Struthio camelus: one gene and its partners. The protein of the gene in region 1 purifies or fractionates together with the protein of each later gene. This does not show direct contact. Links are inferred from orthologs where the notes say so. Each region holds a gene or a part of one and is shown in the gene's direction. Other genes may lie near its edges.

Region 1 (3,745 bases):
GGCAATGTACAGTGTTCCTGCTAAGCAGTTTGGGACAGAAAATGGATATAAAAAAGGTACAAGATATAGGAACTGGGGAGGAAAGACGGGCAGAGGATGTGGCTAAAACAGGACGTCTGCGATTCCTCCTGAAAGGCAGCGGAGAACCTGAAATGAACACAGGCAGTTTCCGTGGCCGGGCTCAAAAAGCCCTTCAGCGCTGACTCCCGAGCAGGAGACCAGCTGAACCCCCTCCTAGCAGCAGCAGGCGCTCTCTGGGTCTTCCCAGCCAAGGACAGGAAAACTCAAACTTGCTCGATCTGCCAGGTCCCAAAGGACTGCAGCTGAAAATGCTGCTTCTCATGAACGTTTATTGCCTCTCTGAAGGAAGGTGAACTCTCTTCTTGCATGGACACCACTAACCACCACGTGAAAAATAGGGGACAGCACTGTATTTTAGGGACATTATCTTAGAGAAAAGCTGTCTATCTATGTATATGTCTATCTATAAAATACATTGAAAATATATACTGCCCTTCTATGTTCAGTTACTGAAAAACTCGTTACCAGCAACCTCCACCTCTCATCTGGAATGCTACTTTGCATCACTTCTAATACGTTTCAAAACTTTTGTGTTGTTTAACTGACCCAAAATGCACTTTATAGGGATAATTAGCATTAATTGTATTTTTAGGCTTAGCTTCAGTGTAACCAAATGCGCAATTTTTTTCTGTAATTTCTCAGAGCCTGTTTGCACAGGGAAAACATTACTCTTGGTGCTGCACATCGGCAGGTCTGCATACAGTAACTACTGCATGTTTGGGGAGGGTGAAGAAGTAGGGTAACTAACGTGTGGTATGTTGCAGGTGACGCCTGGGTCGTGTCCTGCTCCGCGTCCCCTCGCCATCCGCTCCGTGGGGGACAACGGGGACACTCCTTCTGCAGAAGAAAGGCGGTCAGCCCGAAGGAAGGTATCGCACGTTTTTGTTTCCGCAGCCGGGGCGCACAGCACCGCCGCGCTCCCCGGCCGGCCGGCCCGGGGCCCAACCGCCTCTGCCAGACCTCAGCGCACCCGGTTTTTTTCTTCCCCTTCGCATTTCAAACGTGGCTGCTTGTCATTTCTGTGAGCAGCAGGTGAGGAAACGCCGAGTCTCTGCTCTTTCAAGCGCTTCGTGAATGAGGCTGCTGTTTGAAATCCAAGGGCCAAGAGGCGACGGAGAGGCGGCCGGGCAGGGGCGGCCCCCGCCGCCCCGGAACCCGCCGCCGGCGCCGCCGCACCCCGCCGGCCGCCTTCCCGGCCGGACACCGCCTCACGTGAGGCCGCCGGAAGGCGGAAGTGATGGCGGCGGGCGCCGGGGGGCTGGCGGCGCGGCGGCGGCGGCGGCGATAAGCAGGAGGTTCCGGGCCGGGCCGAGCCCGGGGCCCGACATGGCGGCCGGCGGCGGGGGCTGGCCGCGGCTCTGCTCGCTGCTGGCGCTGGCCGCTCTGGCGGGGCTGGCCGCGGAGGCCAAGGTGAGCCGAGCCGAGCGGGGCGCGGGGGACGGGTCCCGGTGCGCCTTGCGGCTCCTCGCCCCAACCGTCGCCCTCGCTCCCCCCCCGCGCGCGCCCCAACCGTCGCCCTCGCCTCCCCCCCCCGCGCGCGCCCCAACTGTCGCCCTCGCCTTCCCCCCCCCGCGCGCGCCCCGACCGTCGCCCTCGCCTCCCCCCCCCCGCGCGCGCCCCAACCGTCGCCCTCGCCTCCCCCCGCGCGCCCCAACCGTCGCCTTCGCCCCCCCCCCCGCGCGCCCCGACCGTCGCCCTCGCCTCCCCCCCCCCGCGCGCGCCCCAACCGTCGCCCTCGCCTCCCCCCGCGCGCCCCAACCGTCGCCTTCGCCCCCCCCCCCGCGCGCCCCGACCGTCGTCCTCGCTCCCCCCGCGCCCCAACGGCCGCCTTGGCCCGCCCCAGCCGGTCCCGCGGGTGCCACCTTCCCCCCCCCCCCCCAACGGTCGGTGGTCGGCGGTGGGTTGGCGCGGGGCTGTAAGGCCCCGAGGTGAGACGCGGCCTCTCCCGGGGCTGGTTTGTGGCGCCTCGGCTCTGCTCCCCCTTTCTGACGTCCTTGCTGGTACCTCGGCTGGTTTCTTGCTCAGGTCGTTGGTCCTGGTTCCTCCAGGTCTTTGAACGTGTTAACTTTCCCAGCCTGTCGGTGAACGCTTACCTTAGCTGTGAACGCTTGGACTGCTGTTCTAATTTTTTCGCTATCCCACAAGCATGTTAATTCATTATCACGTATTTCAGTCATTGCTTTTGTTAAAACAGAAGAACAGAGATGACAGGAGTCCCTTCTGAATGTCAGAGAGTAGTCCTTTGCAAAGGGAGGACTAGGTTTCCGTTAATTACCTCCTGCTTTTGTGAAGGTTCAGGAGCTTGGGCATCTGGTCTGGCCGTTACTTACTGACCTGCCTTCCCCGGGTGCCATGGAGCAGAGGGTTTTGCCCGAATCTGTTAAAGCGTCAGGCATGTGCCCACGCAAGATCAGATTTAGGGGGTAACTTCAGTTTATATCGAAGTCATAATTGCTGATTTTAGCGGGACGTCAGGTTGCTTTTTACTGATATCTTCATAGGAGGTTTATGAAAAGTAGAGATTGCAGTAGCTAGGTGTTGAAAGCTAGGTATGTGACACGTTGTAGAGCAGAACATAGCAAGAATTAGAACTAGTTGAGTTTTATCTGTTTTTATTAGTGCTTGTGTCTGTACAGAGCTTAAGTTTTCAGCGTTTTACTTTAGTTTTGACGTAGTGCTCTGAGATGCTGTCACGTGCAACCACAAGTCATCGTTGTGTATTCATTGAGAAGGTCTTGTCTGAGAGAAAGCTCATGTTCTTGTGTCTGACTATATAAAAGGAAAAGGGGATCTGCCAGATGTCTTATTTTACTTTCAGCTTGGTGCTCTGCTTCCACTCAGCGTTACATGTCTGAGTGCTTTCATCTTCTCTTCTGTTCCATGGTGGCTCTTCCAGCTTTGCTGCCTTACCTGACTAGAGTGTATTTAAATTCTCAGTTGTTGGTCCTTGTAGGTTAATATTTTGCATTTTGCGGCTATAATCTTATTGTCTCTGTGACTAACTGTGAGAACATAGTATCTCCTAATAGGGAAACTTCCAAATTGCGGAAGCACCTTTATATGTAGCTTCTCCATGTTTTTAATGCTAATTAACTGTTTGACTTTCCTATGGCAAGACCAGAAGTGCCTTGGTATATACTGAAATCAAGGTTTTCCAGCCGACCTACGCTCGTTTAGCGTTACTCTGATCTAACTGTTCAGTATAGATGTTTATTTATCAATACTTCTTAAGACAGTCTCTTATGATCCTGGCAAAAGTTGCCCTGAATTTCAGATAAGTCAGGCTTACCTTTTGTGTCTTATTATTTTCTCAAATAAATTACTCTGATTTCAGTTTGAGACTGCTGTCATCTATAACTCTTTGCTCGCTATCTCTGTTCTCTTCACAGGGTTTTCCGCTCTTGTGCGTTTTGGGAAAGGAAGGAATTATCTCACTAGAATATACACAAAGTAGTTTCTTTCTGGAATTGCTTTCTTCCCAGTAGTGGTCTAACTGTGATCTTTGGGTGTTAACTCTTTCTCACTTCCCATAACTGTGGGATGTTAATTTTCCTCACTTCTTTTTGCAGTGCCTCTCGTTGCTTATGCAAGTCTTCGAATTGTTTCCCTAAAGCTTGCTCTTCCAAGTTTGCATCATTTTTTCACATTTCCTTCTCCTTTATTT
Region 2 (3,745 bases), on another chromosome or scaffold:
TTCACATTCAGCCGCAGGAATTTTTTCCTGTGGTGAAGCTCTTGGGTAAGTAGCACAGAAAACAATGGACAGGAAAATGGGGTAAAGGAGTCTGCCTTCCCCTGCCCTGGCTCGTGCATGTGTGTTTGTGTGCTCCCACGTGTATTTCCGGGCTGGAGGTCTGGGTTTCCATCATTGCCATTCCCTCATCGCACTGTCGCTGCAGAAGTCCTTGTTTCTGCTGAGATGAGCAGGACAATGGCATGGCAGAGCAGATCCCTCTCCTTTCCTCTCCTTCCCAGCCCCAGATACCTGCTCCTTCCTTTCAGAGACTGTTGCTTCACAGGAAGTCTATTTTCTGCTTAGGTTTCAAAGTTTCTTATCCCCATCCCGTTTGTCTCTGGTTGTTCCAGGCATTTTGCATGCTACACAAAGGAGAAAATAAATTCTGTATTTGGGGAGACCACTGGTTTCTAGGAGGAAAAAGAAAAAAAAAGATGTTCATTTAATGGACATTTAATTAAATTTTTAATTTTTTAATTAAAATTTTCATTTAATTAAATCTTTTCCCACCTGGAAACCATCCTGATGGGAGATTTTCACCCTGCCTCAGCATCCCTGATACCTAGGCTGGATGTCAAGGAGCCTCCTGGCAGACAGCTGGAGATGTTCTCCTGAGCCGTGGGTGGTAGCTGCCTGAAGGGGGAAGCTGGCAAAGCACTAGGAGAGATGTCCAGGAATGCAGGGTATCTCCCCATTGGGTGTTTTGAGAAGGGGTTGGCTGAACACCCAGTGGTGTGTTGAAGGGAAGGGGCTGAGACTGCAGTAATGAGAGGAGGTCCTCAACCTCCGGAGAAGATCCATGCTGTTACTCAGAGTACAAAGGCCTTGTCTGGCTCAGGGTTCATATTTTTCATGAAGTCATTTTTTTGGGCACTTGGTGACAGGAGGAGCACAGGAGTGCTACATGTCAGGGCCATCACTCCCACAGGAGCTGCACAAGGGGCTGATCTCAAGAGTGCTGTGGCAAGGATTTCCTCTGCAAGGCACCCAGGATGTCTGCAGGCCTGGGGACAGTAACTCAAACTGTGAGGAGAGGACCAAAACAGCAACCAGGGCAGGAGACACCTGCTCACTGCTGCTTGCACTAGGGCTCTGGGCAGAGCACAGGTACCACTGCCCTCTCCAATCTAGCCAATCCCTAGGGAGGAACCTGCTGCCTGCCTGCCCCTCTTCACCAGCCCTGATGCACTGAGCATGGATGGAAGAAGGCAGAAGGCCAGATCCAGCAGCCCCTGCTCCCAGGTAAGCAGGCAGTGGGGAGTAGGCAGCCAAGAGCATACATCAGCTCTGCGCATACCTAAAGACGAAATGATCCAGTTTGCCATACTATATGTGTACAGCAGGGTCATGCAAGGACATGATGGGGCTGGCTGCATCTGGGAGAATGGCCTAGGGCTGAGGCCAGACAAGCCAGTGTTTGTTTCTTGGTACTAATCACTCAGCCTTCTTCCCCTTACAAGGGAACCTGGCCAACTTGTGTTATCACAGAGATCAGATAAATCCCAAAGTTCAACCCTTCAGGAAATATGGCAGGGCCTTCCTCTTCTAAAGGACTTTTACTTACACAGCATGATGTTGATGTCACCTTCTAAGGTAGTTGCTATGCTAAAAACCTGAAACTGAAACATTGCCAGCCCCACCATGACATTCACTCTGTGCACAGAGAGTGCTGTGCTGTTACCCCTCCTGATGTGACTTGGGAAGCCTGGGGATAGCAAGGCATTGGGCACTTGGTGGGAGCTTTTTTGATTCAGAGCTCTAGGGTGTTCCCATAGGCTATCAGAGCAGAAATGATTGAGCAGATGTCCTTTGGGGAAGCAAACACATCTACACAGCAAGAGAACTGCTCTCTGTCCTGTGACAGAGCTGGGCTCACCCTGCAGAAATTAGAGAGACTCTGCAGCAATGCAAATCTCTGCTTGAGGGACAAGTGATCCTGACTGCTGATTCTCACACTCATGGGGCCTACAGAGCTGTCTGCTCAAGGGTTCAGCCCCTTGCTGGGAATGAGAAAGGTTTTTGCTCCAGTTCCAGCACCAACATCCTGCTGTGTCCTGGTCACAGCTTTGGGTTGTTCTGTGAAGTCTCCCAGCAGAGACAAGCCATGTTTCCAGGACCGGAGAAAAATCTGCTGAGTTTTGAGCCAGTTTCCATGGAAGGAGGAAAAAAACCATCTGAGGAAGAAAAGCAGCATCTGAGGACACTGACATGTAGTTTTCTGACCATCCTCCAAGGAGTTATGCAACAGGAGGTGACTTCTAGAGTGGCCAGCCAGCCAGAATTAAAAGCTTCTCACTGGGGATAACAGGGAGTTCAAGCAAGGTGCTTGCTGCCATTCGTAGACTTCACCTAGCTGGACAGCTCATATCTGCACCAATGCTGCCCCCTAGTGCTGCCAGAATCCATACTGGTGCCGGCCCCGGCCAGACCGGCGCTCTTGGTAATGGGCTGGGACGTGGGCTCTGGTAGCAAGGAACCGCTGCGCTGCATCAGGGAAGACTGTTTCAAGTTTGTATCACACAAGAGTCCAGAGACCCTGTCCAGGAATGGCTTGTGCTAGGTACTGGGTGCATGATGTGTAACCACCCCCAACTGCTGCTCCAAAAAGCTTAGGGGTATTAAAGATGTTAGTATGCTGAATGGGAATAGGAGAGGCTTAGGGGAAAATCCCTGTAGAAACTGCTGCTGCAGCTTTTGGTGTTGCAGCTGCCAATAGGTAAGAAACTGCCCCTACGCCAAGTGCTCAGCCCACAGAGACAGGTGGGGAGAAGGGAAACTGAGGCACCATCACTCTCCTTCCTGCCCTGGGTCACGTAACAGCTCAACGGCTGTGGCAGCAAGAGTGGTTTGGTCCACTCACCCATGAGACTACCAAGCCAGCAGCCCCGATCCTTGGCCAAGGACCTGAAACAGCCCAGAATTGCTATCCTTCCCCTTCGACATCCAGATCTTGCACAAGCCTGGTCCCCAAAAGAGCCGTGCTGTCAGCCTCCAGAGGTCTGGCCTGCTAGGCATCTCACTGAGGAGTAGCAGAGAGACTCAATGACCTCAGCCTCGGCCTGAGGACCTGCTATGGGAGGCACTGCTCAGCTGGGAGCTCAGCTGGTACAGCCCACAGCTGAGAGCTTGTCTGACCTGGGGCAACATTGCAAGTAAGAGGAAGGCATCAAAAAAGGTAAGCACACCCCTAGAATATGTCAGAAAAGGCAGGGATCTTCCACTGCCATGGCACCAGGACATCCTGGAAGTTCTGGAGTATTCCTAGCTCCAGCAGTTACTCCAGACTGGCATAGCACAGAGGAGGGTTACAGGGAGCACAGACTGTCCCAGAGTGGGCTGGGAGGGGAAGGAAAGGAGCCTGAAAGGCACCCTGCCCCCTGGAGACAAGTGTAAGTGGAGCTCTGGTGAGCACAGAGGAGCCCTGAGGCAGCTGGGGCTGAAAGCAAGCTGAGGTTTAGCTGTTGGAGCCCTGAGATGGCTATCTGATAGGGCATGGATGGAGAGGGGTGGCAAGGGGGTGCTGCGCTTAGGAGAGGTTATATGACTGCTCATGGAAGCTGGGGAGCGTTTCACCCAGGTAGACAGTAAAGCATCTGACATATCAATCTCAGGCATGAGTGACTGCTTCAAACCCTGGAGGTGATGACATTAGTCCTAAACCCCAACTACATCTGCTTATTAAAATCTCATTTTCTTCTCCAGG
Region 3 (3,745 bases), on another chromosome or scaffold:
TAATTATTCATGTTGAAAATCACATCAGGAACTGTGGCTTAGATCACCTGATCTTGTGAAAAATACCAGCTCATAATTTATGAGGAAACTTAAGACTCTGGTAGCTAGGCATATCTACTAGACAGACACAAACCTGATTACACGCTAACAGATCCACAAACAATTCGCGGCATGTTATTTGCTGAACGTACACCAACAGATTTCCTGCAGAGGCCAGTAATTTACTTCTAACGTTGTTAACAAACTTAAACGTTGCTGTATTTTCTAAAGCTCTTTGGAGAACAATCTACCTGTTTATTATGGCGTTGCGTTGACGACAGGAGAATCATGATCCCGTGATGGGGCCTGCTAGACACTACGCCTATACAAACAGGTATCAAGCGGGGTTTAAGAAAAGACTTCCCACCGAAGTAACACGTAACCGTGTAAGAACACTACGCACCTGAGCCACCCCAAATTTCGGAGGCTGAGCGGGAAGGAGGAACGTTTTGCCGAGGCTCCGGACCCGCGGCGGCGGGGGCCGCGCGCGCAGCGCCTAGCAACGCAGAGCCCCGGCGCGAGCGGGGACGCAGGGGGGAGATGTGCTGTGGATGGGGGGTCACCAAACGCCGGCCCGGAGGCGCTCAGCCAAGCAAGGGGCTCATGGGGATGAGATTACGGGAATGAGATTGTGCGGCTGCTCCCCCTGAGATGCTGTGGGGATTATCGGCATCGTTTTCGTCTCCGTGCGCTTCTCGGCCAGCTGCACTGACGGTCCCCACAGGTCCAGTTTAAACCAGAACTAAACGATTGTTTTTGTTTCTTAAATTTTAGCTATGGGGTTTCGAGCGACACATTTCAAAACGCCTCGCTTTGCGTCCTGCGGGCCGGTTTTAAGGACCCGTGGCAGAGGAGAAGACCCCTGCGAGAGGACGTGGCTTGCTGCCCGCGGCCTGGCGAGCGGCTGCAGCGGGTGCCACACGTGTGCTCAGCCCGGGGAGAGGAAGGGCGGGTGTTGGGGGGGCGGGGGGGTAGGTGGGAGGTTTCTTCCCGCGCGGCGGGGCAGCGAGCCGCCCCCCGCTCCGCCCCCGCGCCGGGCCGGGCCGGGCCGGGCCGGGCCGGGCGGCGGCGGCGCCAGGTGACCTTGGCGGGAGGGGAGCGGAGGCAGAGCCGTGCTGCGGAAGGCGCCCGCCGCCGCCGCCAAGCTGGGCGGGGAGACAGCCGACATGGTGGCAGCCGGCGACGAAGCAGCAGAGGAGGAGGAGGGCGAGCGAGCGGAGATGCTGAGCGCCGCGGAGCCCGCCGCCCTGCAGCGCAACGGGCTGCTCCCCGGCAAGGAGGCGGCCAACGGCGGCGGGCGGGCGGCCGCAGGATGCGCGGCGCAGAGGGGCGGGCGGGCGGCGGAGGCCGAGGCCATGCTGGCGGCGGGCGGCGGGCGGGCGGAGACGCGGCTGTCGCGGCGGCGGCTGGCGGTGCTGGCCGTGTTCAGCGGCTACTCACTGGTGAACGCCTTCCAGTGGATCCAGTACAGCATCCTCAGCAACGTCTTCGTGCACTTCTACCGCGTCTCCTTCGCGCACATAGACTGGCTCTCCATGGTCTACATGGTGGCCTACGTGCCGCTCATCCTGCCCGCCACCTGGCTGCTGGACGCGCGGGGGCTGCGCCTCACGGCGCTGCTGGGCGCCGCGCTCAACGCCCTGGGCGCCTGGCTCAAGTGCGCCAGCCTAGCGCCGGGCCGCTACGCCGTCACCATGGCGGCGCAGGGCGTGTGCGCCGTGGCGCAGGTCTTCATCCTGGGGCTGCCGTCGCGCGTGGCCGCCGTCTGGTTCGGCCCGGCCGAGGTGTCCACGGCCTGCGCCGTGGCCGTGCTCGGCAACCAGGTACGGCGGGGCCGGGGGCGGGCGGCGGGGCGGCGCCTGGGGAGGGCGCTGGCCCTTGAAAGGCCCGCCGCGGGGGCCCAGGCGGTTCTCGGAGAAGTGGCGCTTGGGGCCGCGTCGCGGAGACGGGGAGGGCGGTGGGTGAGGGGGCCAGAGGCAGCGGTGATGGGCGGCCGACGTTGCATTCCCCAGGCCGGCTTTGCCCTGCAGCGCTCTCTCTATCGGTAACGTATTATCATCCACCTTCCCGCCTCCCCCCCCCCCCCCCACCATTTTTTTAAAATAAAATGTGGCCTCACATGGCTGAGCACCGATAGACCGAGCCGGCCCTGCTGACTCGTGACATTTTCTATAACAGCGTGATAATTCACGTGGGGAGCTGATAGCGGAGCCCTGCCACAGCTGTCCTCAAAGTCCTCGGGCCTAGTTCCACAGAGCTGGCACCGATGTATGGGCAAGGGCTGCCTGCAGAGAAGATGCTGTCCGTTCCCCCCCCCCCCGCCCCCCCGTAGCCTTGTTCTTGCTCCCTGCCACTGGCCCCACTTCTCTGTGGCAACGAAATAGTAAAATTCCCATCAGCTTCGCTGGTGCGGGCTGAGGCCTCAGGTACGGTCTGGTTAAGGTAATAGAGGTTTTGTTTATTCTCTTGTGATTCTATCGATTGCTGTTTGTCTGTGGATTGTTAAAGTTGAGGTGGTGCCTATTGGCAGTTAGGGTTGCTTGTTATTTTTACATCCCTCTTTACAATTTTCCAGCATTTTTTCCAAAACAGTTCTTTTTGGGCTGAAGTCTTCAGTGGACAAACCGGCTGCCCGTTTTAGACTGAAGTTTTTTCTTTTTTCCTTCTTTAGCAGTTCAGCAGAAATCTAGCATCTGCTTCCTGGAGTCAGGCTAAAGATTTCTTTGACAGCTAAGATGTCCACACGAGCTTCACCGAGACAGGCAGCAGTCCTCCCAGTAGCAAGGAAGGAACTGCTGTGGTCTCAGTTCTGCTGCGCGGTGCCCACAGCTCTCCCAGCTGGGGAGGAAGCTGGGAGCTTGAGAGCAGTGCTCTGTCCTGATGCTGAGGTCTGGGGGATGAAGTGGTGAAGGAAGAGGGGAGAAGCCCAGGAGTGGAGAAGATGGAAAGCAGGAGAAAGATGGACAAAAAAGCCAGTAGCAGAGGTGTGCTTGGTTGCTTGCTGGAGCACATTCCCCTGCAGAGAGTAGGAATGACCTTAGAGCCCCAAAGTACTTGGTGGTCCTCTGCCGCCTAGAAATACCTGTGAAATACACTGACAAAGTGGGTTTCATTCTCCTCTGGTGGTTTTTCTGCACAGAGGACAATGGCTTATTTTGGTCAGCTGGCCAGTACTCTGTTAACTCAAGTTGTGGAGCTTGTGCTGTAGGTCCGAAGATCCTCCTCTTGCTTATGACCCATGGAGATTGATACAGTGCCAAACAATAGAATTTCTCTGTTTTTAATTTTTGCTTTCTTGAAAAAAAACCCTCTCGAAACCTAGACTGAAAGAATAAGATGACAGATTAGGTGCTTGAAAGTTAAAAACCTGCTACAATTAATATGGTCTATATAAGCTAATGCAGCTGCCTTCTGCGTATGCATTGTGATACAGACCTCAATTACGTGCCTCATTGTGCTCCTCTAAATGCATAAGGTTAGCTGTATAGCAGAATCAGATTGTTACAATGAATGAGACTTGGTCCTCGTATTACGCACCTGATGTTTTGCAGAACTTCGAAGCTATAGCAAACGCCGGTCTGGGTTGCAGACAGGAGGGACAGAATAGTTATCAAAAATCAAATCACGCCCGTTACCCCTTGAAGTGCTGATCGTTTGCAGTTGGAACATGAATCGCTGGGAATGCACCTATGTACTTGTCAAGGGC

What was found.
Region 2: the proteins of TMEM9B (region 1) and H(+)/Cl(-) exchange transporter 5 purify together in Homo sapiens (co-immunoprecipitation; 3 studies listed by BioGRID and IntAct, counting the BioPlex papers as one, with this or other methods). This does not show direct contact. The link is inferred for Struthio camelus from reciprocal best matches to the Homo sapiens genes TMEM9B and CLCN5.
Region 3: the proteins of TMEM9B (region 1) and FLVCR1 purify together in Homo sapiens (co-immunoprecipitation; 3 studies listed by BioGRID and IntAct, counting the BioPlex papers as one, with this or other methods). This does not show direct contact. The link is inferred for Struthio camelus from reciprocal best matches to the Homo sapiens genes TMEM9B and FLVCR1.

What each region holds. Positions count from the first base shown.
Region 1 is NC_090946.1:23,283,117-23,286,861, reverse strand, and holds the start of TMEM9B (transmembrane protein 9B), read left to right. Parts: upstream 1-1,285; 5' UTR 1,286-1,407; coding exon 1,408-1,491; intron 1,492-3,745. UniProt on the Homo sapiens protein: Enhances production of pro-inflammatory cytokines induced by TNF, IL1B, and TLR ligands. Has a role in TNF activation of both the NF-kappaB and MAPK pathways.
Region 2 is NC_090952.1:1,564,334-1,568,078, reverse strand, and holds the start of H(+)/Cl(-) exchange transporter 5, read left to right. Parts: upstream 1-1,459; 5' UTR 1,460-3,745. UniProt on the Homo sapiens protein: Proton-coupled chloride transporter. Functions as antiport system and exchanges chloride ions against protons. Important for normal acidification of the endosome lumen. May play an important role in renal tubular function.
Region 3 is NC_090944.1:114,320,033-114,323,777, forward strand, and holds the start of FLVCR1 (heme transporter FLVCR1), read left to right. Parts: upstream 1-1,103; 5' UTR 1,104-1,205; coding exon 1,206-1,862; intron 1,863-3,745.